Mytilus edulis: one gene and its partners. The protein of the gene in region 3 interacts with the protein of the main gene of each other region in a biochemical or structural test. Links are inferred from orthologs where the notes say so. Each region holds a gene or a part of one and is shown on either strand. Other genes may lie near its edges. The genes, in order: endoplasmic reticulum junction formation protein lunapark-B-like, protein transport protein Sec31A-like, kelch-like protein 12 and programmed cell death protein 6-like.

What was found.
Region 1: the proteins of kelch-like protein 12 (region 3) and endoplasmic reticulum junction formation protein lunapark-B-like form a complex in vitro, tested with the Homo sapiens proteins (2 studies listed by BioGRID, with this or other methods). The link is inferred for Mytilus edulis from reciprocal best matches to the Homo sapiens genes KLHL12 and LNPK.
Region 2: of the proteins of kelch-like protein 12 (region 3) and protein transport protein Sec31A-like, one has a biochemical effect on the other in vitro, tested with the Homo sapiens proteins (3 studies listed by BioGRID, with this or other methods). The link is inferred for Mytilus edulis from reciprocal best matches to the Homo sapiens genes KLHL12 and SEC31A.
Region 4: the proteins of kelch-like protein 12 (region 3) and programmed cell death protein 6-like form a complex in vitro, tested with the Homo sapiens proteins (2 studies listed by BioGRID). The link is inferred for Mytilus edulis from reciprocal best matches to the Homo sapiens genes KLHL12 and PDCD6.

Annotation. Positions count from the first base shown.
Region 1 is NC_092345.1:26,205,788-26,212,791, reverse strand, and holds the start of endoplasmic reticulum junction formation protein lunapark-B-like, read right to left. Parts: upstream 3,023-7,004; 5' UTR 2,875-3,022; coding exon 2,848-2,874; intron 1,374-2,847; coding exon 1,332-1,373; intron 704-1,331; coding exon 516-703; intron 1-515. UniProt on the Homo sapiens protein: Endoplasmic reticulum (ER)-shaping membrane protein that plays a role in determining ER morphology. Involved in the stabilization of nascent three-way ER tubular junctions within the ER network.
Region 2 is NC_092352.1:38,682,249-38,689,126, reverse strand, and holds the start of protein transport protein Sec31A-like, read left to right. Parts: upstream 1-3,865; 5' UTR 3,866-4,075; intron 4,076-4,768; 5' UTR 4,769-4,777; coding exon 4,778-4,890; intron 4,891-5,599; coding exon 5,600-5,689; intron 5,690-6,324; coding exon 6,325-6,514; intron 6,515-6,878. UniProt on the Homo sapiens protein: Component of the coat protein complex II (COPII) which promotes the formation of transport vesicles from the endoplasmic reticulum (ER).
Region 3 is NC_092344.1:86,997,588-87,005,294, reverse strand, and holds the start of kelch-like protein 12, read right to left. Parts: upstream 3,027-7,707; 5' UTR 2,921-3,026; intron 1-2,920. UniProt on the Homo sapiens protein: Substrate-specific adapter of a BCR (BTB-CUL3-RBX1) E3 ubiquitin ligase complex that acts as a negative regulator of Wnt signaling pathway and ER-Golgi transport.
Region 4 is NC_092348.1:38,951,123-38,957,959, reverse strand, and holds the start of programmed cell death protein 6-like, read left to right. Parts: upstream 1-3,830; 5' UTR 3,831-4,047; coding exon 4,048-4,154; intron 4,155-4,828; coding exon of another isoform or gene 4,829-4,890; intron 4,891-5,871; coding exon 5,872-5,933; intron 5,934-6,837. Other genes in the region: uncharacterized protein, read right to left, coding at 770-960, 3,530-3,577. UniProt on the Homo sapiens protein: Calcium sensor that plays a key role in processes such as endoplasmic reticulum (ER)-Golgi vesicular transport, endosomal biogenesis or membrane repair.

The DNA of each region.
Region 1 (7,004 bases), on a different chromosome or scaffold from region 3:
CTAAGCCGGGAATGTCACAGTATACATGTATACCCTGTCTGAGACCTGAATAACATATAATGTAATAATTGCTGCTCATCGCTACATTGAAGACCTGTTGGTGACCCTCTGCTGTTGTTTTTTATTTGGTCGGGTTGTTGTCTCTTTGACACATTCCCCATTTCCATTCTCAATTTTATTAATATTTATACTATATGGTTATATATCATGCATGTCATAGTACATGTACATATAAAGCATTTTGATAAAAAAAAACAAAAAAACAACATTTGAATGCATGTATACCTAATATTAAATAACAAGTCCTCATCACAAAAATCAAAAAATATTATCAAAATTTCTCCAATCACTAGACAAAGTTCTAAGCTTTCTGTTTGAATAAGCTAAGAATCAAATAATGTTTCCAATTTTTATTGCGCATTGAAAGCTTCATTTGATTTACATACATGTACAGTTCTTGTTAATTTGAAGCTACATGTACGAGTTACTTCGTCTTATTCTAAACATATACTTACAAAATTGGAAATATTAGCAGAGGTGATGAATATATCAGCCTTTTTGTCCATGTGGGTGGTAGGTAGTAGAAGTAGAAAATCAGAGCTGCACCAATATACATCAAAATAGAATACAGTATCAAACGTCCAATAAACTTCTTTTGTCTCTCTTGGTTCTGTCGGCGAAACTGCTGCAAACTGCTAATTTGCTGTAATGAATTTACAACATTAAAATTAAATATTGATCCAAGCAAGTTTAAAAGAATTATGTGCAGAAACAAAGCAATTTCTTACACATTCAACAAAACCGTAGGATTCACCATAAAAACCACAGAAGAATTTTCAATCATGTCAATGGGAAATCATTTCTTAATTTTAGTAATTTTTATAATACAATTTAAAAATATGTGTATGGCTGTATGTTCTTATATCATGTATAAATATCATAAACATTACATGCATTCGTGAATGTGTTGTTCGGTCACTCGATTAATATTTTTCTCTATTTGAATTCTTTGATTAGATATACATGTAAATGCTTTAAATAAACCTCATAAAATAAACACTTCATACACAGACCACTTTTGGGGTTTTACTCTATTGCAAGGTTGCTTTCTAATTTATTGATGCATGAATACCCAATAAGCTTTATTTAAGTAATATAAAGTTCTTGAACATCTTCACTTTTGCATGTGTCTAAAGACATGAAAGATATTGGTCATTTGTATGGCGAGACAATAATAATAAAATCACATAGCAATTTTGACAGTTTCATCTTCCATCAGTAAGAATCGATATGACAGTTATGTTCATACATGTAGTAGACATAATATTTACCTTGTCAATATCATCTAATATCTCAATGGTAGATTTCTTCTTCTACAAGAAAAAAAAAAACAGTTTAGTCTTGTACCCAAATAATATGCCCAAATAATATGCATCTTTAAAGTATCTAAATACTAACTATCCACCCCTTCTTCAAATAATCTTCATTTTGATCCTGCAAACTTGTATCTAACCTTATTGTTTTCTATGTACAATGATGTATGTAATAATTGCTGCTCATTGTTAATATTTCTACTATAATATGGTTATATATCATACATGTCATAGTACATGTACATATAAAGCATTTTGGACATTATTTGTGCAAGTCTTTTAATGTTTTTTTTATAGTAGACATGTACTATATGCCATCTCAAAGTAATGTTAGCAGAAATAGCTTAGACCTGTGTTTTGGAATGTGTCATCACTTTGATTTATATAAGATCTCAGACATTTGACTTAATTCTGAAAAATGAAGGAATGTTTGATTATTTTTAACTAAGGGATCAGACAACGGATATTAATGTTGAAGGCAAAAGGATCAATACTAAAAGTTTGATAGCACAGGGCTAGATACTGCAGCATGAAAACGGCCTTGGGAGTAAACTGTCTAATACTCAAATTATATTTTGCAGTGTGAAAAACTAGGAACAGTTAATAGTGCCATTAGTGGTGCCTTTGCTCATAATCTGTTAAATGATGACTGTGAAATCATAACCAGTGGAAATAACCATTTTTTGACTCACAGTAAGGACAACTTTTTCAAAATCCAATCTTTTAAATACAAATTAAATGCATGTATCTAAACATGTATATAACAGTATAAACTCGCTGGATACACATGTGACAACAATTATCACAAGAAACATTCTAAAACGTTTGTTCTTCAGTGTCCTACATTTAGTTGCAGAAAGTTTTTAAAAAGATTACCTGTAGCTCAAACAAAGGTGAAAATCAAGACATATAGCAGTGTCTCTAATGTTACCATACTCCTGTTTAAGATTGAGATTTCCACCTGCATATTGGCAGATTTTCAATACAAACATTGTGTAGCGCAGAGTATTATTTGGTTTCAAATTCATGTTAAAAAAGAGAGGCGAAAGATACCAGAGGGACAGTCAAACTCATATAGATCGAAAATAAACTGACAACGCCATGGCTAAAAAATAAAAACAGACAAATAATAGTACAAAAGAAAAATCATAGAAAACTAAAGACTAAGCAACACCTACCCCACCAAACTTCACTAAAACTTCCTTAATCTGTTGATACTTAGCCCAATACCAATAAACCCCCCTTTTATCTTTCTGTCCAACACCGAATACCCTAAAGTGAATCAATCTATAGTTATTCTATATAAGTATTGAAATGTGGCCAACTGAAAAACATCACACATTAAATAAGTAATGTTGGATGATATCATTTCGCTAAAATTTCAAAATAGATGAAAAAGGAGTAACAAAATTGTGACAGATTGTTCATTTTCTAGAGTTTTCTTTGATTTTAAGGAAAAGACGACACTACATACTCTGAATCTGGAAAGAAGGACACCCATTGTAAAGTCCTTAATTACAATTTATGTCTGTGTTATTCAAGTTGTCATTTATCTATACGAAATTATTGGTCCAACACACTGCACATTTCCCGTTTTCAATTTTGTGGTGTTGACGTGCTGCCCTCTGTGAGGAAACGGAAGCAGTGACAAATTGTAACATTTTGATTGGTTAATATGAGATAATGAATAACAATTAGCCATGTGGTTTTGTTTACACTTTCCAAAGTGTCGTATCTTACATTTGATTTACCGGGACCTGTGTAGATTTGTTTCTGCCAGGACAAACAATTTAAACAAAAAAGACAAATGCGTTGATTATTCCCCTTTCGTTTAGATAATATTACCTGCAGATATAATCGAGTGATATAATCAGATAATTAATATCAGACATGTGAGTGTAGACATGATTAATGCATGGATATTTGGTATTATAGAATTGGCAAATTATCATGCATCATAGAGACATATATACTACACATATCTATGAATACATCAGCAATTCACTGAAGGAACTTTTTTCTCGGTTTAATAATGGTTCGATGTTTTACATATCAATTTAGTATCATATACATTGTACCTGTCATGTCACTATTATTACAAATAACTGAGACTACTATAACACATAGTATTATAGTAGTCTCAGCATCTAATATCTATAAAGCAAAGCAGGATAAAGAATTCAGTTTGATTCATAAATTGGTAAAAATCTTTCTTTTTTTACAACAACAACAAGAAAAGAGATTAATTCAGTTGAGGTACTAGATTACACATACAGGAATTTACTAATAAATGGTATTTTACTTCAATATTCGGAGGTATTAAGAAATGAGTATGATTGCCATACTTATATGATCTTGTTGCATGAAACTATACTACTTAATTACAACGTACAGCCACCAATATAAGAATAATATGATGTTGTACAGTGTACTTCAATCTTGCCTTCAGTAACTGCTAGCATTCGTTGATACAGTATTGTTTGTTATTGTTTTCAATTTGTATATGCTTGTCAACTTGTGTTATTGTTTTGTCTATCATATCGTTATCTAGAGTTGGGTGTTTTTTCTATACTAATCGTTATTGTAAACTATGTTCTTTTAGTAGTTTCTGAAATGAAGATCTTTGAAACAGAAATTCAAATTATAATAACTCTTTAATAAATCAATATACTAGATAATATAAACATGTTGGGTGTATTTTAGTCTTAAAATTAATGCCGTCTAATTAACTATCGAGATGACCTCCTAAAACTACCAACGGACACATTACATGCATGGTATAATCATTAACATAGATATAAAAAGATAACAACATCGTGCAATTGACTTTTTTCATGTCTGTTTGATTTCATATTATTATGAGAAAAAATAATAAATTTTCGATTTTACCTGTATCAGAACGTTTTTTTGTGGAACGAATCAGTTAATCAAATAATTTACCTTTGTTTCACTTTCAGTGTTTACATTCTTTCTTTTAATAATTTGACACGCATTATTCATGTGTAATCCATCTTTAGCGAAGGGGTTAAACTGAAGTTCACATGAATACGGATTTCATGAAGTGGAATTATTCACTTGCAAGTGAAAAATTCATAATCGATGTTTCTTAGCTTATTTTGAAAAAAATGAACCATACTTGCTGCTAAAAGCGTATTTTTATTATTTCACTATTTCACTTTCATTAATGATTGAACAAAAAATCATAATGTATTATTTTTTTATCTCTTTCGTGGCTAGTTTCTCTTTAAAACTAAAATAATTGATCTATTAACCAATCGATGAATTACTAGTGGTACTTCTCTCATTGGAGCATATGCTCAAGCTTATCAAGTTTTGTGAAGGTTAGACAAATCGATCAATAAATACCATTTGTAAACCAAATTTGCGGCTCAATTTTAGTGTATCAATTGCGGCCTCAAAATCGAGAGGAGTTGTTATCATCTCATGGAGCATTATCTAATCAAATTTAGAAAATGTTTCTCATAATTATGATTTTAAAGATAATATCTGGATAGCAAATTTTAGCAGAAATATTAGTGTAACAAAAAGTCAATAGGAGTCGTTTCCTTCCCACAAGTCATTAACAAACCAAGTATGCTAAAAGTTGGATGTAGGCTTAAGGGTTACAAATGTACAACTGGAAACCAAACTTTTAGTCAATCAATACCTTGTGTGAAACTGACCTTATAAATATCGAACATAAAATCAAAAGGCTTCGTCTCCTTCTATAGCCTTTAACAATTAATTTTGGTAAAAGCTTGACATATGGTACACAAGGTCAATGTACAGCAAACTTAAGGTCTAAGGTCAGTCTAATTAAAACACAGAACTCTGATTCCGCTCTACTGTCTAAAACACAGAACTCTGATTCCGCTATACTCCTATCTAAAACACAGAACTCTGATTCCGCTATACTCCTATCTAAAACACAGAACTCTGATTCCGCTATACTCCCATTTACAACACATACCTCTGATTTCGTTACACTCCATATGAGTATAACTAAATCAGAAACCCATGTTTTAATCAGACTGGGTTGAAGGTCACAGTACGGGGTGACTGTGGCAAAACATTTTCTAAAAAATCTAAAAGCCTGAAAAGTTATTTGTCATTGCACATAAACGACACAAAGTGCCATTTTGTAGTCTATCATTGCCCATAATCCGTGTACAGAAAATGTCTAAGTCGTCAAAAAATATCAAGAAAAAAATAACAGTGGTCTTCGAGTCCTGATTAACAGAGCCATACAACGTTTTAATAAAACATTTGTTGTCTTGTGACTGTAAATGTTGTTATACGGTATCTGTTTCCCATCTGCTGTTTTCTTTGTTTTAAAATATGTTTTTAAATCATTTTCTTATCTGTTGTTTATTAAGTTTCTCATCTGTTGTTCCATCAGTTCTCATCTATTATTTCATAAGGTTTAAACCCATTGTTACATCATTCATTTGCTGTTTTATCAGTTTGCATCTACAGTTTCGTTTATTTCGCATCTGTTGTTTCGTATGTTTCATCAATTTCTTATTTGATGTGTTTTCCATATGTTGTGTTACATCAGTGTGTCATCTGTTGTAACATCAGTGTGTCATCTGTTGTAACATCAGTGTGTCATCTGTTGTAACATCAGTGTTTCATCTGTTGTAACATCAGTGTGTCATCTGTTGTTACGTCAGTGTGTCATCTGTTGTTACTTCAGTTTGTCATCTGTTGTAACGTCAGTGTGTTATTTGTGGTTACATCAGTGTGTCATCTGTTGTTACATTAGTTTGTCATATGTTGTTTTATTTGTTTTACGTCTGTTGTTAATTTGTTACACCAGTTTCTCATCTGTTTGATTTATTTCTCCCCTGTTGTTTCATTAGTTTTATATCTGTTGTTACATCAGATTCTCGTCTGTAGTTTCAATTATTTCTGTTTATCATCTGTTGTTACAATTGTTTCTGTTTCTCATCTGTAGTATTAATTGTTTCTCGTCTGCAGTTTCAATTGTTTCTCGTCTGTAGTTTCAATTGTTTCTCGTCAGTAGTTTCAATTGTTTCTAATCTGTTGTTTCAATTGTTTCTCGCTTGTAGTTTCAATTGTTTCTCGTCTGTAGTTTCAATTTTTTCTCATCTGTAGTTACAATTGTTTCTCATCTGTTGTTACAATTGTTTCTCGTCTGTTGTTTCAATTGTTTCTCATCTGTAGTTACAATTGTTTCTCATCTGTTGTTACAATTGTTTCTGTTTCTCATCTGTAGTTACAATTGTTTCTCGTCTGTAGTTTCAATTGTTTCTCATCTGAAGTTACAATTGTTTCTCGTTTGTAGTTTCAATTGTTTCTCATCTGTAGTTTCAATTGTTTCTCATCTGTAGTTACAATTGTTTCTCATCTGTAGTTACAATTGTTTCTCGTCTGTAGTTTCAATTGTTTCTCATCTGTAGTTATAATTGTTTCTCGTTTGTAGTTTCAATTGTTTCTGATTGTTTCTCATCGGTAGTTACAATTGGTTCTCATCTGTAGTTTCAATTGTTTTTATCTGTAGTTTCAATTGTTTCTCATCTGTAGTTTCAATTGTTTTTATCTGTAGTTTCAATTGTTTCTCATCTGTAGTTACAATTGTTTCTAATCTGTAGTTACAATGGTTTCTCG
Region 2 (6,878 bases), on a different chromosome or scaffold from region 3:
AAGGCGAAAACGCTAAAGCGCTAAAACGCAAAATTGCATTAACCTGCCACCATAGTTGTCCGCACGTAAACTTCTAGAATTTGTCACCAATTTAAGTACATCGCAATCCGTTACTGTTTCAACAGCCATCGATGTTTCATGTGTGTATTTTTAAACAAGTATTATTTTTCTCTCGTTTTTAGCAATGTATCACTCTCTACTGTCCTTATATATTATTCTATATTCTGAGTTTCCATCCAGATTTTCGTGTATACCATGAGGGTCCGGATTGGGGGTATTGTTTATTTCTGTATTCTTTAAATTGTTATGTCATTTTTTTTTACATTTTATTTGTCTTACTCATTATTCTTTCTTTATTTTTCATATTTTGTCATCCCAATATATTTTACTCACTGATGTTTAGTTACATTACGACGTTTATCTCTAATTTATATACTGGTTACCAATGTAGATGACAAATTTGTGTCATTCATGACAATTAAACAGAATCAACATTATATATGCGACCATTCTCGGATGAAATTGATATTATCAGATTATTACATAGCATTTTTCATATCGCATGCATGTATTATCAGCCCTAGGTTCAATATCAACCCAAGAGCCGCATGGCACCAATTCAAAAAAGTATGGAATTTACGTTAATTTAATGCTATTATCATACAGTAAAAATCATATGTTATTTAGTCTAAGTATATGATAATACTTTAATATTACACTTTTTGAAACCATTTTTATCAATTTTCAATTTCATGCGTTGTTTCCGTATAGATATGTTATGTTTCATTGCTCATGTGTTGTTTTCGTATACTTTAGCCGCTCGTCTTGAGCCTACTCATTTGATCCGATAACACCCCATATAACAATAAAATTATACTTTTATTGCCTTTCATAACTCTTAACAGACCAATTAACAGACCGGGTTTTATATATCCGACCTATTAACAGACCAGGTTTTAAATAAATTTTGATTTATGTCACCAAAATACAGATTTTCGTGTAGATTTTTCACACAATGATATCTATATGGTTAACAAACATAATACCTTTCTTTTTTCGATATTCAAAATATTGAATGCAAGTAAATTTAACCAATGTGTCATTTTGTGTACATTTTATGTGTGTAAAATGTGTATAAATGTATTGATGAGTAACCCGCCTTTTCATTTTATAGATCGTACATCGAAGCTAGAAAAATAATAATTACACCACTGAATTCAGTACATTGAATTGTTTTGTTAGACATGAATACTTTTTATGATGAAAATATATTTAGAAAGCTATACAATGAAACATGCTGAACTTTCAATGATTTTCTCGATAACACCTGATTAACAGACTTTAGCCAACCCGATTAACAGACCAACCGCCGATATAGCCGCATACTCAATATAGATTAACCGACCAATCTCTCGGTTAGCCGAGTGTCGGCCGTGAGATTGATTACGTTTATCAAAGAGAATTACGATAGGTGATCAATCTATCGGTGAATTAAATTATGTGTGTATCTGATATGACCGTATAAAAGTTGCATAACGAACTTGTAAGATGTTTGTATTAGCTTAAAGTTTAAAAGACTATTGACAAATAGAAATTTACAATCTTACATGTTTCAGATGTAAACAAATATTTCGGACATGTAAATTCATAGCGACTTTCGAGATCATTCTTAGTATTGAATAAATTAAATATGCATGCTGTATACGAAATGTACATAATAGAAATCAATATAATTAGACAGTTTGAAATATAAATTTTAGTACCAAAATAATGTGTGACAATTGTAATAACGAAAAGTAGAACCTATCCGTTGTCATCTGTGATTCAGATATAATTCAAAAACGGCCAAACAAATCAGGCATGATTGCGTCTGTACAACTTTCCTTATTTCCTCTTTTTTGAAATTAGTTGTAATCTAGTTAGCAGCTGCACTGTGCATGGTTTTGTGTGTTCTACTTTCTATATGTATCGATTACCGAATTCTTGTCACAAACTGAAAGCTTGTTGTTTTTAAGTCTGGGGTTGGTCAGCTGTATTTCTATATCTAAACGAATATTTGTGAAATGTTGTAAGTATGATGCAATCTTTATGTTCATAATCTAAAAAAGTATTGGCATATGCAAATGATCTTTATATATATGAGCTATTATAATATTCATAAACACACTACATGTCAATGCTCTCAGTCTCTTGATCTTTTTAGTGACTTATATGTGTGGTGTTATTTTTACTGCAAAAAAAATATGACAGGTGACTAGGCAGTTATCAAGATGAGACAAATAAAAAAAAGATAACTTGTTTAAGGTCTAAGATATTCAAATATCGTGGCTAGATACCAATTCTGACTTTTAGTTGACGATAGAGAGTGTCTTTAGACAGTTTTGGGGAGCTGTCTTGAAGCTCTCGGCTGACTAAGCGCACACTATGTCGCCTCCAATGTGGCTCCAAAGGATTGTACTCTTACATTTTTCAGGATTAAAATTCATCTGTAAGTCATGTTATTTTGTTTTTATTTGGGATTAAGATTATAAGACAATATTGACTGCTGTTCCCTAAAATTTGACCTTTTTAACCAATTATGTCTGCTTGTTTTATTCACCAATCGTTGTCAATATTAAGGAATTTGATGCGACTGTCGTACAAGTGAGAGGTTTAGAGCTAAAAAAAACAGGTTCAATCCACCATTTTCTTCATAAGATTTCTTCATAAGAAAATGCCTGTACCTAGTCAGGAATATGACAGTTGTTATCCATTCGTTTGATGTGTTTGACCTTTTGATTTTGCCTATGATTAGGGACTTTCCGTTTTGAATTTTCCTCGGAGTTCACGGTATTTTTGTGCGCATACTTTTTCCAATTGTACACAATTTGGCCATTATGACAAAAGTTTGTCAGAAATCATATCTGATATTCTTCCTCAGTCATAATAACCTTCCAATCATCATTACCAAACTGAACAAAGAAATAACACGACGGGTGCCGTATACGGTGCAGGAAATGCTTACCCTTCCGGAGCACCGGATTTCACTCCCGGTTTTTAGTGGAGTTCGTGTTGTTTCTTATTTATTATTTATATCTGTTGATGTAGATGTCCTTTGGTTTTGTGAGTCTTTGTTTACTCCTTGGTTTTGATTGTTATTGTCTTTGAAGAGGCAAAACACTTTCTTGAAATTGTTCAATAAATAATTAGAATAATGAAAGGCCTATTAATACTGTTCAATTTGGAAAACCAGAGTCAACTGCTATTTCACAAGATTTCAGGTAGAGTCATGATATACCGCCATCTTGCTTTGTACAGTCGCAGTACACAATCGGTCTAGTTCTTTGTCTAAATTTGCAAATTTGGAGACAGATTTGCAAATAAATAGTAAGGCTGTTCATTTGTATACAGAAAAATTAGTGATTTATTGCATTATATAAAATTTTTAAACAAATACTAAATACTTGTGTTGTTTAGGGTCATTTTTTCAACTTGAACATTTAAGGGGAGATGACTCTTTTCGTAAAATAAATTATTGGAATGATAGGGAAATGTCACTGTTTTACTTGTAGCAAGAAAACAAGTTCGTTAACATACTTTTTGTTCTTGAAGGATATCATAAAACCTATCTACTCATATTTTATTTTAAAATTCTATCTGATAGATTTCTTTTTATGCATAGAAATGTGTTTTTTCGTGAACACTCTATGGACATTTTTGCAATTTTGCACGTATTGTAGCTTGAAAAGTATTGCGGCTACCCTTACATTTTATCATTTATTTGAAAAATAGATAGTAAAATCTTCATTTTGGCAAGGTATAAGAAAATTAGTGTTGTTTTTGTTTTTGTTTTTTTTATAAATATTTTGAGACAGATTTGCATCGCAATCTCCAGATGACGGAAGTAGATGGAATGCTGGGATATTGTTTCTTCCTTTGCCACGTTGGTATGCAGACAGACGTGGAACTGTCAATTTCATCGTTTAAACGTGTTATTTAACAATTGATTTGCATAAACTATAAATCTTCCATACAATTACCTTCTGATCAAGGATTTTATCTCATCCCAGACAAATACTGTTGGGTGAAAAATCAGGTAAAAATGTGTTATTTGACAGTCGCCGGTATCATTTTTGTATATGTATGTAAGCAATTCTCATTTTTTTGTAATTTCCCTTGTCCAGCTAGACTAGTGTACTTCATTTCCTGTTTTCATGGCACAATAATATGACTTTCACATGTGACGCTTACTTAAAATCAGCAGCAATCCCAGGATTTTCTAAACATGCTATAAAGGGCCTTATTCCTTGTAGTTCCAAGTGTAGCTACATCTCCTGTAACAGTCCTGTTAAGTGTAACAGAGTGAAGTTCTTTCAATTTTACTAATAATTACATGTAGATCTAAACCTGTAATGTTTGAAATTTTGATAAAACTACAAAATAACAGATTTTCTAATTTGCTATATTTTTGTATTTAAATGAATGATTTATAAATTACTCACTTCAGTAAATCCACTATCTGTTAATGACAGCATAGCTGCGGAACCCTAGCTCAGTGCTGATGAGCAAGTATAAGAATTTGATTGGGTGAATAATTCGTTCTCTATGATGTAGCATCATATTTTTTCAACCACTCTTTAAACGTGGAAAGTGACAATGCCCCTAAACACACTATTATTCACTAAAACTAAAAGTTTTTGAGGGAAATGCAACAAACTTGTAAATGTCTATTGGGAAAGATATTTACAAATTAACATTAATATTGTACACATGTAATTTTTATTTACAGATCCAAAACATGAGGGTAAAAGAAATAGACAAAACAGCCAATGTGGCTTGGTCACCAGAGAAGCAGTTTCCAGTTTATGTTGTTGCAGGTACAGCTGCACAACAGCTGGATGCAACATTTAGGTATTAATCTGTATAATTAGACCAATTTAGACCCATTTTTAGAAATGAATAAATATGAAATCGGCTATTTTTTTTAACCTCAATCCTTCAGTTAGTTCATCAGTCATCTTTGGTTTTTCGATGTTTAGATCAAATATGTTCAAAGTAAAATGTACCTAAAAAAAATTGAAGCATATATTGTAGTACACAAAATCTTCTAGTGAGAATCCTGAAATGTCTTTTCAGTAAGAAAATTTTAAAGCACTTGGTGAAATTACAAAAGTTTTCAACGTCTATATGTATCTCTATTTTACACATCTATAAATTTATATCTATAATCTACAAATACATGATGCTCAGTAATATATACTCACATTAACTTATGTCTGTTATAAGTTCAACTACATTTGAGGTTGTGTTACATGTAAAGTGTGCTACTGTAGGAAATGAATAATCATGAAAACCTTTTGTACTGAAAGGTCTTTTGATAAGAATCAGAACTTTAGGAACAGGAGCCAGCATTTGGCATCCACTGCTTCAAATTCAGTTGACCAAATAGAGTGTTATATATTTTACTCCAGCTTTTTGAGTTTTTCAGAAAGTGCAATTGTTTGGAATGAAAATTACTCATTTTTAATAAATTGTGTGTTTGTTAACACTTTTCTCTTAAGTGTACAAAGAAAAGTTTGCCACTTTGATAGCAATGATTTTATGTCTACTTTTATTGCAGTACTACAGCAGCCTTAGAAATCTATCATTTGGACTTGTCAGATTCGTCACTCCATATGCCATTAGTGGCCAGTATACCATCAGAACATAGGTAAATATGTGTTGCCTTAAAATATTTACAGCCCACAGTCAAGATTTTTTTTAAATGTGAAATTCAGATGACATCTTTTCGGATAATAGAAGTCCCTTGAAACTGTGAAAACAATGAACTGTCATGAAGTCAAAACTACATAAAACACAAATTAAAAGAAAAAAAGGAAACAACCTCTAATTGCTGTCTTTTTGCTGATTAGATTGTGATTATCCATAACAGCCATAGTCATGGATAAGTACCAACTTGTGAAACACTTCCTATACCTTCAGCTTTAAGGTTACTGGTAACAAACAAAATTTAAGAATGAATTATCTTTTTAAGTGATGATAACCTTTTCCTGATCATAAAGTTCCATAAAGTTGTATAGAGTAATTGGATGTCAAATACTGTGGATTCATTTATTTTTGTGTGTATCAATTTTTCGTGGATTGAGCGAAACATGCATTTTTAGGAATATTTATTTTTCCTGGTTTTGCCTATCTGTGCATACAAAAAAACATTGAATATTTGTTATTCATTGAACATTTGAATTCATGGTTCAGATGTACACACGAACCCAAGAAAATTGGTATCCAACGAATAATAATGAATCCCCAGTAGCTGTTTTTTAAATGATTATTTATTTATCATAGATTCCATAAAGTAGTATGGGGTTCCCATGGAATGTCTGATGGATCGTCCGGAGTGATTGTAGCAGGTGCTGATAATGGCAACCTATTTTGTTATGATGGAGCCAGCATGATCAAAGGATCGGACAAATTATTATTCAAACAAGACAAGCATGTCGGAGCTGTCAAAGCATTAGACTTTAACAATTTTCAGGTATAATCATGAATACAAGGCAATGACAGGGTATAAAGCAGTGAGGCAGCAACCCAACAACTCAGAAACTAAAATACATTTAACGGTCAATATATTGAAGTCATCAAAAAGAAAAATGTCAAGGTCTTAAAGTGAAGTCTAAGAAACTTTTTTTTAATGAAACCAAAGATCTTCTTAAAAATAAATCATTATTTTGGAAGTTCATCATTTTGGGCAAGTTATTGTTATTGCGAAAAAGCATGGTTAGCATAGTGGAATCAAATCACAGTGGCATTATACACTCTATATCATAAAAGGCAATAAACAATTTTTATTATCCAAAGACAATGTTCACTAATTATTAAGAAATGCATTATACACTTTT
Region 3 (7,707 bases):
TAACAAAAAGATACAAAAAAAAAAACAAACGAAAAGGAACATAAAATAAAAATAATTTTTAGGAACAAAGAAAATAAATATTAACAGTTGAAATATCAAAACCATAATTAACAAAAATTGGCTATTTTTATTAAACAATGTTTTCTCCAGTACTTCACCTGTAAAAATATTTTATGTCAAATACGATGTCGAACTAATATAATCAATAAAGTGACTGAGAGCACAGGCACTTGTTTCTATCCATACGAAGGTCGACTATCCATATAAATAGAAGAAGGTGGCTAACGAAATTTTTTTTAGGTCACGACAGTCTCCGCTTGGGACGCTTTTTCTACCCTTCAACTTAATGCTAAAAATCCCTACCTTATATGAATCGATTCAGTGAATATTTTCCTTTAACACTAAACTAATTTCATAATCCCCACAGTGTTCCTCTTCACGGTAATCTACTCTCAGTTCACTAAACCATGTCCAAAAGTTCAACTACCATCTTTCCAATGTATCTACTTCCGGTTGACATCGCAGTAAATTTATTTTGTTTTCATTGACTCAGTTTCTTTCCCCTAATTCTGATACGTTTTTTACCTCCAAAATAAAAGATCGATGAAATTCTTTAGAGTTACCATATACATTCGGAATTCTCTAGTATTATCGAATTCATTCAAATTAGTTTCTGACTTTCTGATTTTTTTAATAACAACAATAAATGTACTTATTTCGGTGAAATTTCATCTTTAAAAATATATTGATAATGAAAATAATAAACTGGTAATTTTACAGAATCATTTCGTTTTTAAAAAGATAGCATTCTGCCCACAACCGGAAGTAGATACATTGGAAAGATGGTAGTTGAACTTTTGGACATGGTTTAGTGAATTGAGAGTAGATTACCGTGAAGAGGAACACTGTGGGGATTATGAAATTAGTTTAGTGTTAAAGGAAAATATTCACTGAATCGATTCATATAAGGTAGGGATTTTTAGCATTAAGTTGAAGGGTAGAAAAAGCGTCCCAAGCGGAGACTGTCGTGACCTAAAAAAAAAATCGTTAGCCACCTTCTTCTATTTATATGGATAGTCGACCTTCGTATGGATAGAAACAAGTGCCTGTGACTGAGAGGTTAAAATTACAGGTAATCTGATTCTGAAATCAGTGAACCGTAATTTTAGCAACACGGATTAAGATGAAAGGACCATTCACACCTGGATCTGTTGTTTAATGAACATACTACCTACCATAAAAATGTCCGATTATTCATATCCGACTAGACGGATTAAGACATCCATAAAAATAAGTCCCTACCCGTACTGTATATGCATGTAAATAGAAAAATATCTCCTGAATCTGTTAATATGTGTGATACCCTTTATCTTGCCCAAATAATCCAAAAATGAACGTTTTCTCAGACTCAGGTGACCCTGAGCATACATTGTAGTCATAAGAAAATAGTATTTTTATTGAAAAGTCACGAGAACTCCGAAAGTAAAGGTTAAATATAAATTAAAATCATAGGTTCACTAAAAAATATAACTGTAAAGAGAATTCAGTGCTTTTTAGACGAAAGAAATTGCATAAAAACAAAAAATCCAAATTATTTCCTTTTCAAAGAAAATTTTTTGTCACCAATTTCGTCTTCAACTACTGCTGAAGAATTTGAAGTAAAATACCATATTAGGTATTAGGTACACTTCTTATTTTCTTAGGAAATGTTTTTAAGATAAGATTAATGTATGTTTCATAAATTTAGATCGTTGTCATTCTTCTTCTTCCAGGTAAGGAACCGGATTCAATACTGAATATTCATGGTTCCGCGCGAAAACTTTACGCAGTGTCGGGCAACACAGAAAGCTTTCTCTTGGATATTTACAAATACATTTAAAACGTTCGCAAAAATATACAATTAAAATTATTTACAACTGGGTTTTCCTACTTCCTTTCAGAGCATGCCTTCAGGGCAGCTCTGATTCCCTCAATGGTGTTGGTCGCTGTAACTGTTGTTGGTAGGTTGTTCCAGTCCCTGATTGTCCTCGGGAAGAAAGATTGGCCGTAAGTGTCTGTACTTGTTCTTTCTTGGAAGAAGCGGTTTTTACCTCTGGTCCGGTTATCATTCGGTGTCAAATATTGGTGACGGTCTATATCTATAAGATCATGCTGGATCTTAAATAGCATGCATAATCTAATTGTTTTCCTCCGTTCTTCTAGACTTTCCCATTTAAGATTTTTAACCATATTTGTGACACAGCCTTGCAGGTGTTCGGTCTGTGTAGTTGTTATTCACAAATCGTGCAGCTCTTTTCTGGACCTGTTCAATTGCCTTGATTTTATTTTGGGCGGTTGGGTCCCATATTGTGCTTGCGTATTCCACTGCAGGTCTTACCATGGATACATACGCAGCTGCCTTTACAGGTTTTGTACAGCCTTTTAGGTTTCTACATATAAATCCCAACGTTCTGTTTCCTTTGCCTACTGTATTGTCTATGTCATTGATTTTTTCTGCCAGATATATAAATATAGTGCCGTTCGTAATTGCGTCCATTTTGAGCTTGCTACACCCCTAAAACCAGGTCATGAAAATCTTACCAAAGTATCCCAACGTAAATAGAAAATTATGTGTGTTATGATTTAACATGAAATGCATTCATACATACATCTTTAATTCTATGGTACACACAAGAAAAGTATTCTACAAAGAAAAAAAATAATTAAAGTTCAAAAATCGTTCGTAATAATTTGTGTTCAGTGAGGCTACACTATATGCAGATAAGAGACATATAATACAATTATATGTCTCTGACTATACGATACGAAGAACCGATAACATAAATTTATTGGACATTCTTCACGCTTGTCCTCTCTTTTTTTCAACTGGACATTGAGAACAATAGCAGGTTACGAACACATAATTTCACCAATGTCACACCTTTGTCTTATCTTTTAACAGTTGAATTATATATCGGTAAAAATGAGAAGAAAAATCTGCAAAATCTGCAACCAAATCTGGTCTCTGTATTGAATAGCAAAAAAGTAAACCAGTCAAGAAAAGTTTAAATTTAAAACCAATTCTGGATAAATCTCGTTTCCGAATTGTTTCAAAATGTAAAAATTAACCTATTGATAATTTGAAACTTCATTTCCAAATTAAATCCAGGGGGCAACCAAAAACACAAAACATAACACGCATATCAAGAATAACAAGAATATAAACGAGAGACTCTAAAGAGTCTATGTCGCTCACCTTTGTACATCTTTTAGATGGTACATACAATCTAACTCTCCGAGTTTCATCTTGTAACAGTATTAATTTAAAACATTTGACTTTTCTACTCTTTACACTAGTATTCCACATTCCAAACTAAGAGACAAATTGGAAGAATTGGTATTGCTTTGCTCGTAAAAAAGAATGGCCAACGTAGATACAAGTATCTTGTCTTAGGGAGGGATAAATCCTACCGTTGTAAAGGATCACTCTGATTTAAACATTAAACTGAAAAAATTCTCTGAAACTGATATTATCAAGATGCTTGATTTCTTGATTGACAACTTATTTGTTACGTTCGGAGGACGTGTTTTTCAACAGACTGTCGGCATTCCAATTGGAACAAACTGTGCCTCTCTACTTGCCGATTTATTTCTTTATTATTATGAGGCTGACTTCATGCAGGAACTTTTTAGGAAGAAATATAAGAAGTTAGCAATATCCTTTAACGCTACTTTTCGCTATATCATGAGATGATCTTCTTTCACTAAATAATTCAAAATTTGGTGACTCAGTCATGATGTGGAACGCATCTATCCATCCCATCGAGCTAGAGATAAAGGATACTACAGATACAGTTAAGTCGGCCTCATATCTTGACTTACATCTAGAAATTGACAATGAGGGTCGGTTGAAAACAAAACTTTACGACAAAAGAGATGATTTCAGCTTTCCAATTGTGAACTTTCCATTTCTAAGTAGCAACATTTCAGCAGCACCTGCATACGGGGTATATATCTCCTTATTGATACAATATTCTCGTGCTTGCATTTCCTATCATGATTTTCTTGATAGAGGGTTGCTGCTCACAAGGAAGCTATTAAACCAAGAGTTCCAAATGGTAAAGTTGAAATCATCCCTTCGTAAATTTGACTGACGCCATCACGAGTTGGTTGACCGTTATGGAATAACCGTTTCACAAATCATATCGGATATGTTCCTTACGTCGTAACTAAAATCCCCTTCCCTTTCATGAATGTGACCTACCGAATTAAGACTATTTACCGAATTTGTTATCACATAAGCAACACGACGGGTGCCACATGTGGAGCAGGATCTGCTCACCCTTCCGGAGCACCTGATATCACCCCTAGTTTTTTGGTGGGGTTCGTGTTGTTTATTCTTAAGTTTTCTATGTTGTGTCATGTGTGCTATTTTTAATTTGTCTTTCTCATTTTTAGCCATGGCGTTGTCGTTTTGTTTTAGATTTATGGGTTTGGCTGTCCCTTTGGTATCTTTCGTCCCTCTTTGGTATATGTGCATATTAAACAAAGGACACAGATGGATTCATGACAAAATTGTGTTTTGGTGATGTCTGGGAACAGTATATAATCTAACGTTAATATATATGTTCCTGGTGATGGGGATGAGTTTGTAGATTTTATTTTATACTGAACATTCTTGTTGCTTACTTTGTATCTTACAATTATCTCTATCTATAATGAACTTGGCCCAGAAGTTACAGTTGAAAATATTTTGTAAAAAATTACAAAAATTTACAATAATTTACGAAAATTGTTAAAAATTAACAATAAAGGGCAATAACTCCTTAAGGGATCAATTGACCATTTTGATCATGTTGACTTATTTGTAGGTCTTACTTTGCTGTACATTATTGTTGTTTACAGTTTATCTCTATCTATAATAATATTCAAGATAATAACTAAAAGTTGCAAAATTTTCTTAAAATTACCAATTCAGGGGCAGCGACCCAACGACAGATTGCCTGATTGGTCTGAAAATTTCAAGGCAGAAAGATCTTGATGCTTTGGTTTCAGAGATTTGAGCCAAAAGCTGCATTTTACCGTATGTACTATTTTAGACATGTCGGCCATCTTGGTTCTCTTGCCAGGTCATCGGACACATTTTTCAAACAAGATACCCCATTTATGATGATTGTGGACAAGTTTAATTTTTGTCTTTGTAGTTTCATAGGAGAAGATTGTTGTAAAAGATTACAAAAATTTACGAAAAATTGTCAAAAGTTGACTATAAAGGGCAATAACTCCGTAAGGTGGTATGGGTGTCTTTCGCCATCTTGGATTGTAAAAAAAAACAACAGATTTACAATACATAAGAATATAACTTATAAATATTAATATTTTTACAAGTGTCGATTATTTTTGTTTTTTTAAATGTTTTTAAATTGGCGTTTTAAGGGGAGGGAGACAACTCTAAAACAGTGCATTTTCTGAAGGAATCTCAGTGACATGGAATTTTCCTATTTTGTATTTTAGCCGGGAAAAACGTACGGTGACCCTATCTTTTCTTTTAATATTCTCAAAGCACTGTCTGAAAGCTATCTTTTCCTAATTTATTTTACAATTCTATCACTTTTTGTTTAGTTTCTAATCACAACATTGTGTTTTTCCTGTATAATCCATACACAATGTGTCATTTTGTCACAACCTGTAGCTTGATAAAATGCACGGTGACCTATCAATTTTATCATATTTTTGACCATATATCAATAGATACTACGTTTTGGCAAAGTATGAACGAATTCTGTCATTTTTATTTTAGACTCCCATACCATTTTGGTCATTTTGACTTATTTGTGGATCTTACTTGTCGGCCCAGTAGTTTCAGAGGAGAAGATTTTTGTAAAAGTTAATGACGACGGACGACGACGACGACGACGACGACGACGACGAATGACAGACGCCAAGTGATGAGAAAAGCTCACTAATTGGCCCTTTTGACCGTCAGGTGAGCTAAAAATGGCTGCCAGTACTTTTAAATCAGATATGTTATCATTTGTAACTTAGTGTCTTTTTCAGTGTTGATAGTGTTGTAGGGATGTATAAGTCCAAATAATTATGACGTCTTGCAAGGCTATTTTGATTTTTGCTTTGACACTTTCCTGCGATGTTAGGTGTCAAAGAAAAAAAAATATCATATTCTTTCAAGACGTTATAATTATTTGGACTAAGGATGTATACTGAGTACCTGCGGAGATGTAAAGTCTCTGATACCTGGCACGTCCACTCTGTGTTTTTGTTGAATGAATTTCTATTTGTATCAATCTGATGAGTTTAAGAAGCATTTTTCAACTAATTTTTATAAAATTGAGAATGGAAATGGGGAATGTGCCAAAAGAACATCAATCCGACCATAGAACAGACAACAGCCGAAGCCCACCAATGGGTCTTCAATGCAGCGAGAAACTCCCGCACCCGGAGGAGTACTTCAGCTGGCCCCTAAACAAATATATATACTAGTTCAGTGATAATGGACGTCATATATAAACTCCGAATTATACACAAGAAACTAAAATAAAAAATCATACAAGACTAACAAAGGCCAGATGCTCCTGACTTGGGACAGTCGCAAAATTGCGGCGGGGTTAAACATGCTTTTTGAGATATCAACCCTTCCCCTATACCTCTAGCCAATGTAGAAAAAGTTCCGTCCCACCCGTCACTGGCTGACATCCGGCCAAACATGTTAAGCCGGGAAGGTTTACTCTCGAGAGGGCAGTTTGCTCCTTCATACTAGTTGATAAATGGTCGGGTTGTTGTCTCTTTTACACATTCCCCATTTTCGTTCTCAATTTTAATAAGTGGTGGTCATAAAGAAAGACAATTTCCTGGGGTGTTTGGTTGCTGTTTGTACCATGTATGCATGTTTTTGTGCGTGTCTGAATATTCTAGTTGGTCTTTGGAGGTAAATGTCATTGTGGATGGATACTTTGTCGTTGATGATCTTATACATCATTGCGAGACCGGCCTCTCTACGTCGTGCTTTGAGACTTTTCCAACCCAATTCGTTAATCATGTCCGTGACACTTGATCTGTTTTTGTGGCGCTTGGGTTCGTATAGCGCATCCCTCCTTTGAACTTGTTCAATTTGGTCGATATGCTTTTGATGATATGGGTCCCATACTGTTGTGGCGTATTCTAGTTAGGCCCTTACTAGAGTTTTGTAAGATTGCATGCTCCTTGATGCCTTTAGAGCCGATGTGTAGGTTTCGGTAGAGGAAACCAAGGCTTCTGTTGGCTTTGTTGGTAATATTCTCGATATGTGCTCCTGTCATTGTGTAATGATACATGTTTGTTTACATATTTGTTTGTGTGTATAGTGATTTTGTTATACTAATTAAGATAATAACACAATGTTGTCTGCTGCATCCCTATTTTAAACATTTATACCTAGGCTCAATGTTGTTATGTCTGTTTGTTTTGTTCACACATCGTTGTCAATATAGTTGAATGTTATGCGATTATACGGTGATAAAAGTGAGAGGTTAGGTAGCTATAATAATCTATATTTTTTACTTAAGAAAATGAATGTACCAATTCCGGAATATGACAGCTGTTGGCAATTAGTTTGACGGGTTTGGGCTTCTGATTTTGCCATTTGATTAGTCTCAGTAGGGACCTTCCGTTTTGAACTTTCCTCGGAGTTCGGTATTTTTTGTGATTTCACTTTTTTAATTGTTTTACATTTGG
Region 4 (6,837 bases), on a different chromosome or scaffold from region 3:
TAACTAAAAAAAGTTACGCCCCTGACTGTTAATAGATAATATCTTTAATACCAGACTAAAATCATAAGTACATTTTTTTTAGAGAAGACATCATTAGACTTTATTCTGAACTTAACTATATATACATGTATAATAAAATAAATATTATCTTATCATATCTTATATAGCTACTACATGTACTAGTTATATGTTGAATCCTTATGAAAGTGTACAAAATCTAGTAATTATCATTGCCAGAGTTAATGTAGAAATTGTCAGCATATATTCTATAAATTTTACATGAACCTTATTAAAAAAGAAATGTGGATTCAAAAAAATGTAACAGCAACCAAATAAAACAGACGTACTTCATACATTAATTGACTAAATTGAGAGTCTGAGTAATGTGGCGAAAGCTATAAGTCAAAATACAGCAGAATTTAATTGTAAGATTTTATAAACCTTTATAATAAATCTTAATAAAAACAGAAGCTAAGGTGAACTAGAAGAAGTTTTCTGAACCACTGTATTGTAATAGTCTGATATTATATTTGTAAATTTTCAAATACCATGAATACAGTATATATATATTGAAAAGTGATGTTTATTTTTCTTAATATTTTGAATATTTGAAACAAAAGGAATAATGAGGACCAAAAAAAACAAAAATGATAAAAATGGTCTAAAAATTAAAAAAATTAAAAAATAAAGCCCCCAATTCTTAAGTCTCTTATTTATACATGCTTTTTTGTGTGTTCCCTTGATAACTCTTCATATTGACAGTGAATACCTCTTTATTAGTGATATCAAACAATTAAGCTGTTCTATGGCTGCATTCTTTTCATGTTGACAAAGTTTTACATCCTGTTTGAGTTTAGTAATGGTATCCAGTAATGCTGTTGTGTTGTGTGGATTACCAGGAGAACTAAAAAGAGGCTCCACATGGATTCCTTTGGCCTGCATTATTTTCTTTTTGAAGTCCTTTGATAAAAATAAAATGATTGAATTACAAGCATTTTTCTTATATATATATGTACATGTAGAATAAAGCATTTATGCAAGTGAACCAACTTTCTTCAAAGCAGTTTGCAGTCTGCAGATAAAAATACAAGCATGCCATTAATGAGCTGTATCTACACTACTGAGCAAAAGTGCAATTAATTAAAAATAATTCATAAGATAAGAAGGTTATAAAATTTAATATATCTTGTATATTCATCACTTATGAGTCTTTTTACAGTACTTAAGGTGAGGTTTAATTTGTAAAGAGCTGGATGAAGATCTCTTTTTGTACTCACTTTATTAACTAGCTTTGACTTATCAGCATACACGTACATACAATTCAAACTGACTGATAGTTCGAGTTGAAAGATCATAAGTTTAAATATTAGGGATGGCAACGAGTACTCGAATACTTAGGTACTCGCTCGGAAGGCAGAGTACTCAAGTACAGTTTTAGTGCTTGGATACTCGTTTGTCTGTTATAAGTCTTGAGATATTTCTCTTCACATATCCACTCACTTTAGTTCCGTTGAACTACATGTATCCCCTTCGTAATACTAAATAAAATCAATTAACATTTCATAAATATGGTTATCCTGTTGCTACTGTTTGTTATAGTAGTACCAGCAACGTCCTGTGATTCCGAGGGAATGTTTTCATGTGCACTACTCGTATTAAAAAATAGAAAGTCAAACAGTCTTTGGTTTGAAGTTGTAAACCAAATCATATTTCTAAACAAGAAGAAAATCAATTTCACCTGCAGTGAACTCTACGCAACTGATTAGAGACATTTTTAACGGTATTTGTACACGAATCAACACTTTCAGGGATTTAAAATAATTAACTCATCACAAGCCGTAAAAACTCACCTTTGTTTGTTAATCAAGACTTCTATGCAAACATGATTGGTATGAGATGTACATTTGAATTAATTTTATTACTCTGTATTTGAAACTTAACTATAATTGTTTAATTTACAATTTAAAGATAAGCGAAAGTACAAGAGCGACATTCAAACCTAAAAGTCAAAAATAAACTGACAACGTCATGGCTAAAAAAAAAAGAAAATCAGACAAATGATAGTGCAAAAAAAAATAACAGAAAAAGCACAAGTTATAGTCCAATATTGTTGTTGATAAATTAATGGACAAGTGGTATTATAAAAAATACCAACTCCTCAGGAACAGATGAAGTGTTGTTGATTTGCAGTCATGAGGATAATAAAAATTAAATTCACTTTAAAAGTGTAATACCTCTAAATCATGGTACGTCACATCCAGTTGTATACTAAAATAGGTTAAAAAAAATATTCCCATGAATTTGACAGTTGTAGGTAATTAATCCTACATTTCATTGCACATGTAGTTGAACATTTTCTGTGTCATAAACATATGTCTTGGGTATTCAGGCACATAGCTCCCTATACGCTAACACGCAGTTGCGTGCACATCGATTTGGCATGTTAAAGGAAACACCTATGTTGTCACTTTTTTTTAATTGATGAAAATCATTAAAAAACGGCATTTGGTTTCAAAATAGAGATTATGACAAAATCGGACATTAACTTGTATCTTTAACAAGATTTGAATTTGTAATACTCAGTCTAAGACATGTAGTTTTTGAGCACATTTTACAGTGTACGGTTCATAAGTTCGGAATGAGATGTACGAATCGGCATTAGAAGTATCAGAACCCTTCAATATCATTAAAAATATGCTGAGGCGATGTGGTCGACAGACTACCAGAGCAAATCACCCTGCAATCACGCCAAAACAGTATTGGAAAGTCTCATTATTTTTTGCGTTCATAGACCATATAATAAGGGAACTGGAGAGTGGGATCGAGTCGCGTCTTATCAGAAAATCTGAATGTCTAAGGGACATAACTCAGCCAAGATTTTTTTTTATCTATACAAGTAAATAAAATTCACTTGTATAAGTATCCTACAAATTTACTTATATGTGTATATTTTTTTTACTTCTTCAAGTAAATAAAAATTACTTGAATAAGTTGTACCCCTGACTGCCTCCACTGTAATGATGAGAAAATAAGGATAGAACAAATAAAATAACAGGCACTTGTTTCTATCCATGGGAAGAAATATATGTCGATGCTCTTTCGATATTGAATCTTCCCATGCATAGGCGGATCCAGGGGAGGCCCCCCCTTTCGTGGGAAAATTTTGGTTGATTATATAGGGAATCACTGAAGCATGACTGGAGTAGGCCCCCTCTTAGGTCAGTCAGCGCCCCCCCCCCCCCCCCCCTATGAAAAGTTCTGGATCCTCCACTGCCATGGATAGAAACAAGTGCCTGTGGACAAAATGGTGGATAAGAAAAGGGTTTGGGGGAAAAGGGGGAGGGCTAACAAAATTGTCATGTCCTAAAGTACTTATGAATCTTGTTACACTGGCATATATAAAATGCATGTATAGCACTGTTGAAGGAAGACATGTAATGTAGGGTAATTTTGTTCAAGTAAAACTTCATAATCATTGCACAATTTTTTGAAAACTATTTCATCTTTAAATTTTACAAGGTGTGTATACCCTTAAAAACACAATTCTTGATGACCCCAAAATACACAGTCCAGACATCTTCGCGCGACAGTGAGAAATACGAGTACAGATAGTTCACAGTGAGAATCACATGTGACATGATAATTTTCCAAGGAAATGTAAGAAGTGCACTCCACGACTAATATTTGGAGTTCAACTCGTACCTTTTTCAAAAATTTAAGACATACGAATTACTCTTCTACATAGGTTCAAAATAAATGCTTTGTTTACTCTCTGATTTTTAGACTTTATCTGTTATGTTGTTCGTCCAGACAGTTCACATATTTCTACATAGATTAGACGCCATGTTGTTTACATCAGCGCTATGCATTCGGTATTCTCCAGGTTTTTAATTACAATGTGCGAAGATCTACAAAAGCTCGAAGTTTAATTATCGTAGTCAATAATGTGTTTACCAAAAGACAATATCAGCTTACTAAAAGGAAAAATAATTTAACACTGACCAAAATCAAATACGGAACAAGAAAAATCTGTAAAATATTTTGGGAATGGCTTATTACGGTCAACAACAGCAGCCTCCTGCAGGATACTATAACCAACCTGGTGCTCAACCTTCACAGAATGATCCTAATTTTCTATGGGGCGTCTTTCAAAGGTTATTTTAGATATTTATAACTGATAATTTTCAAATCAAACTATGCAGTGTCACAAATAATTTTTGAGTGACTCAACTTTTGTATTACGAAATATCTTCATTAAACTCAAACTTATTCATTTTCTTGAAAACGACAGGAATGTCTGAATGTCTGTTAAAACCGTGTTATATGTCTAGTCCTTTATTCTTTTGAGTTTTGTGGATTATTTGTCCATACACCTTATTGCTAATACCGGCTGACCCGGCCGCTTGAACTTTTGACGCATACAATAATCACTTTTCCATTGTGGCGTCTGATATTTGTTTTGTGACATCAAAATTTTACGGGAACCTGTGTGATATCCAGTAATGTCGGACAAATAGCGATAAGGTGTATAGTCACCTGGTCATAGAGTGTTTTTGACTGCCTTTTAGTCCAAGTAACTACATGTGTGACCATGATGACGTCTTCTATCAAGGAAGCACAAATTACTTAAGATTTCTGGCATAAGCTCTCAAGCGAGAGAACGATGTAAAGAATGGAAAAAAGTGATAACTAAATACAAAGTCAAGGAAAGGAAAGCTATATACAATGTAATGCATGCTACGGCCATTGTCAGTTAGATTGTAGTTGTCATAGTTGTAAAACAAATCCCATTAACATATTAAATGAATGATTATTTTATTTGTTTTAGAGTTGATAAAGACAAAAGTGGTCAAATTAGTGCTAATGAACTTAGCGGTGCTCTGTCCAATGGTAAGTGGTTGGTCTATGTCCAACCTTGTGATTGCACTAGCTGCCCTAATGTAGCCCAGTGAAGTCTGTTTCATAATTTGCAGTTAAACAGGTCTAAAAAAAGCTGTCAGAACTCATTCTCATATCTTGTTAATTATTCCCCCTGTCAAAATATATTTTTTGTTAAATGGATACAGTGATATGAATAAAAAATTCAATAAAAATCTTTTGAAAAGAAAAGTTGTAAACATTTTCTGATGGTTTTGTTCTCCAGTTCCTGAATTGGATATTTTAGATATTGTATAGACACATAAAAGTTTGTTACTTTGTGCATGTCAGTGTTTTCCCTAGACATGTTTTGAAGGATGGTGGGATTGGCTGAATGGATGGTGGGCATGAATTTTGAAGGATGGGGACTTGTATAGAGACTGAGTAATAAAGAATTTCAAGATTTGAAGGATGGGGGCCTAAATTAATGCATGGGGGTACGTACCACCATGCATAAACCCTCTAGGGAAAACACTGCATGTTCTATATTAGATCAGTTTTCTGAGAATTAGACCACTGACAGCTTTAGATATATTGTTAACTGCAAATTATGAATTTTTGCATGTAAAATGTACATGTACAGTTGTAGCTTTCCTATGTTTTTGGGCAGGTTTTTCATGGAAGTAAAACATCATTTTTCAAACAGCTGTGTTTTATTTGAAAAGATTTTTGTTGCACCAAATTTTACCAATATAGTGCTTACCAAAATTTTAGCTTGTTTATCGTTGATTTTTTTGAATGGAGACATATATATTTGCAATTTTTTCAAAATATTTTGCATGATTTTCACAGCTCTGTTTGAAACATTTGATTTTTTCCAAATGAATTTGCTTGTCATGCAAAATCTGTCCTGCTTCTGTACTAAGTAATGATAAACCTGGGTTTTTTAATAGGAAGATTGGTAAAGCTGGTTATTAAACATGTTAAATAGGATTTTTTTTATCCTTTTATTAGGATAGATAAAGACAGAAGTGGCTCAATATCAGGAAATGAGCTTCAACAAGCTCTCTCTAATGGTAAGCTCTGTGTGACAGGAAATATAAGGAAATGTGTATTATAAACATGATGAATTCATAGTCATTGTTCTTCAAATGTTCTTTAACATAAGCCTTTTTAAATTAGAATTGTTAGATGAATAATAAAATCATTTCTTTAAAAACATAATTACAATTGATCATCAATTCTTTAAATGATAATTTTCAACTTTTCATTTTTGACCAGGATTCAAAATTAACATAAATAAATCTAAGCAGATTGAATGCATCTTGTATGAGTTAACATGGTCAATAGCCACTATACTCATGCCACTCTATTTATATCTCTATTCATTAAATGATCATTTTGGCTTGTGGCTTTGCCTTTAGGCTTATTTTAGTACTATGGTCATGATAGTACATTTTTAATTCAAACTTAATTCCAATACTAAGCTTTTTTCCAAAATTTCTTTCAAAATCAAATTTTATTTTTCCTCATCAATTGGTAAATGTTTAGTTTTCTTGGTTTATGTTAAGTTTATGTGACAGTTGTAATAAAGCTTTATATTTAGGACTATCAACATAATATTGATGATTAGCAATTAAAGAAGGTGAGACTGTGTGCACTCTTGTTATTATGAATCTTATAATTTTCTCAAAGAACTACATGTGTTTTATTATTATATAAAAATGTTGTAGAATGAGCAAAACTAGAAACACATCTGATTCAAGTCTTAACAGACACATTTTTAAGAACTATTTCATCTTGTCAGAAAAGTCTAAAATATGAAAAGAACAACTAAACATGCTGATCCATTATGAGACAATTAATCTTTAAATTTCATTTTCATGGTGTGTTTCTATGTTGTTAATCAATGAGGATTAATGTACAGATTGTACATTTGATGGACATATTTATATTCTTATATTTCATTGTTAGGAGCAG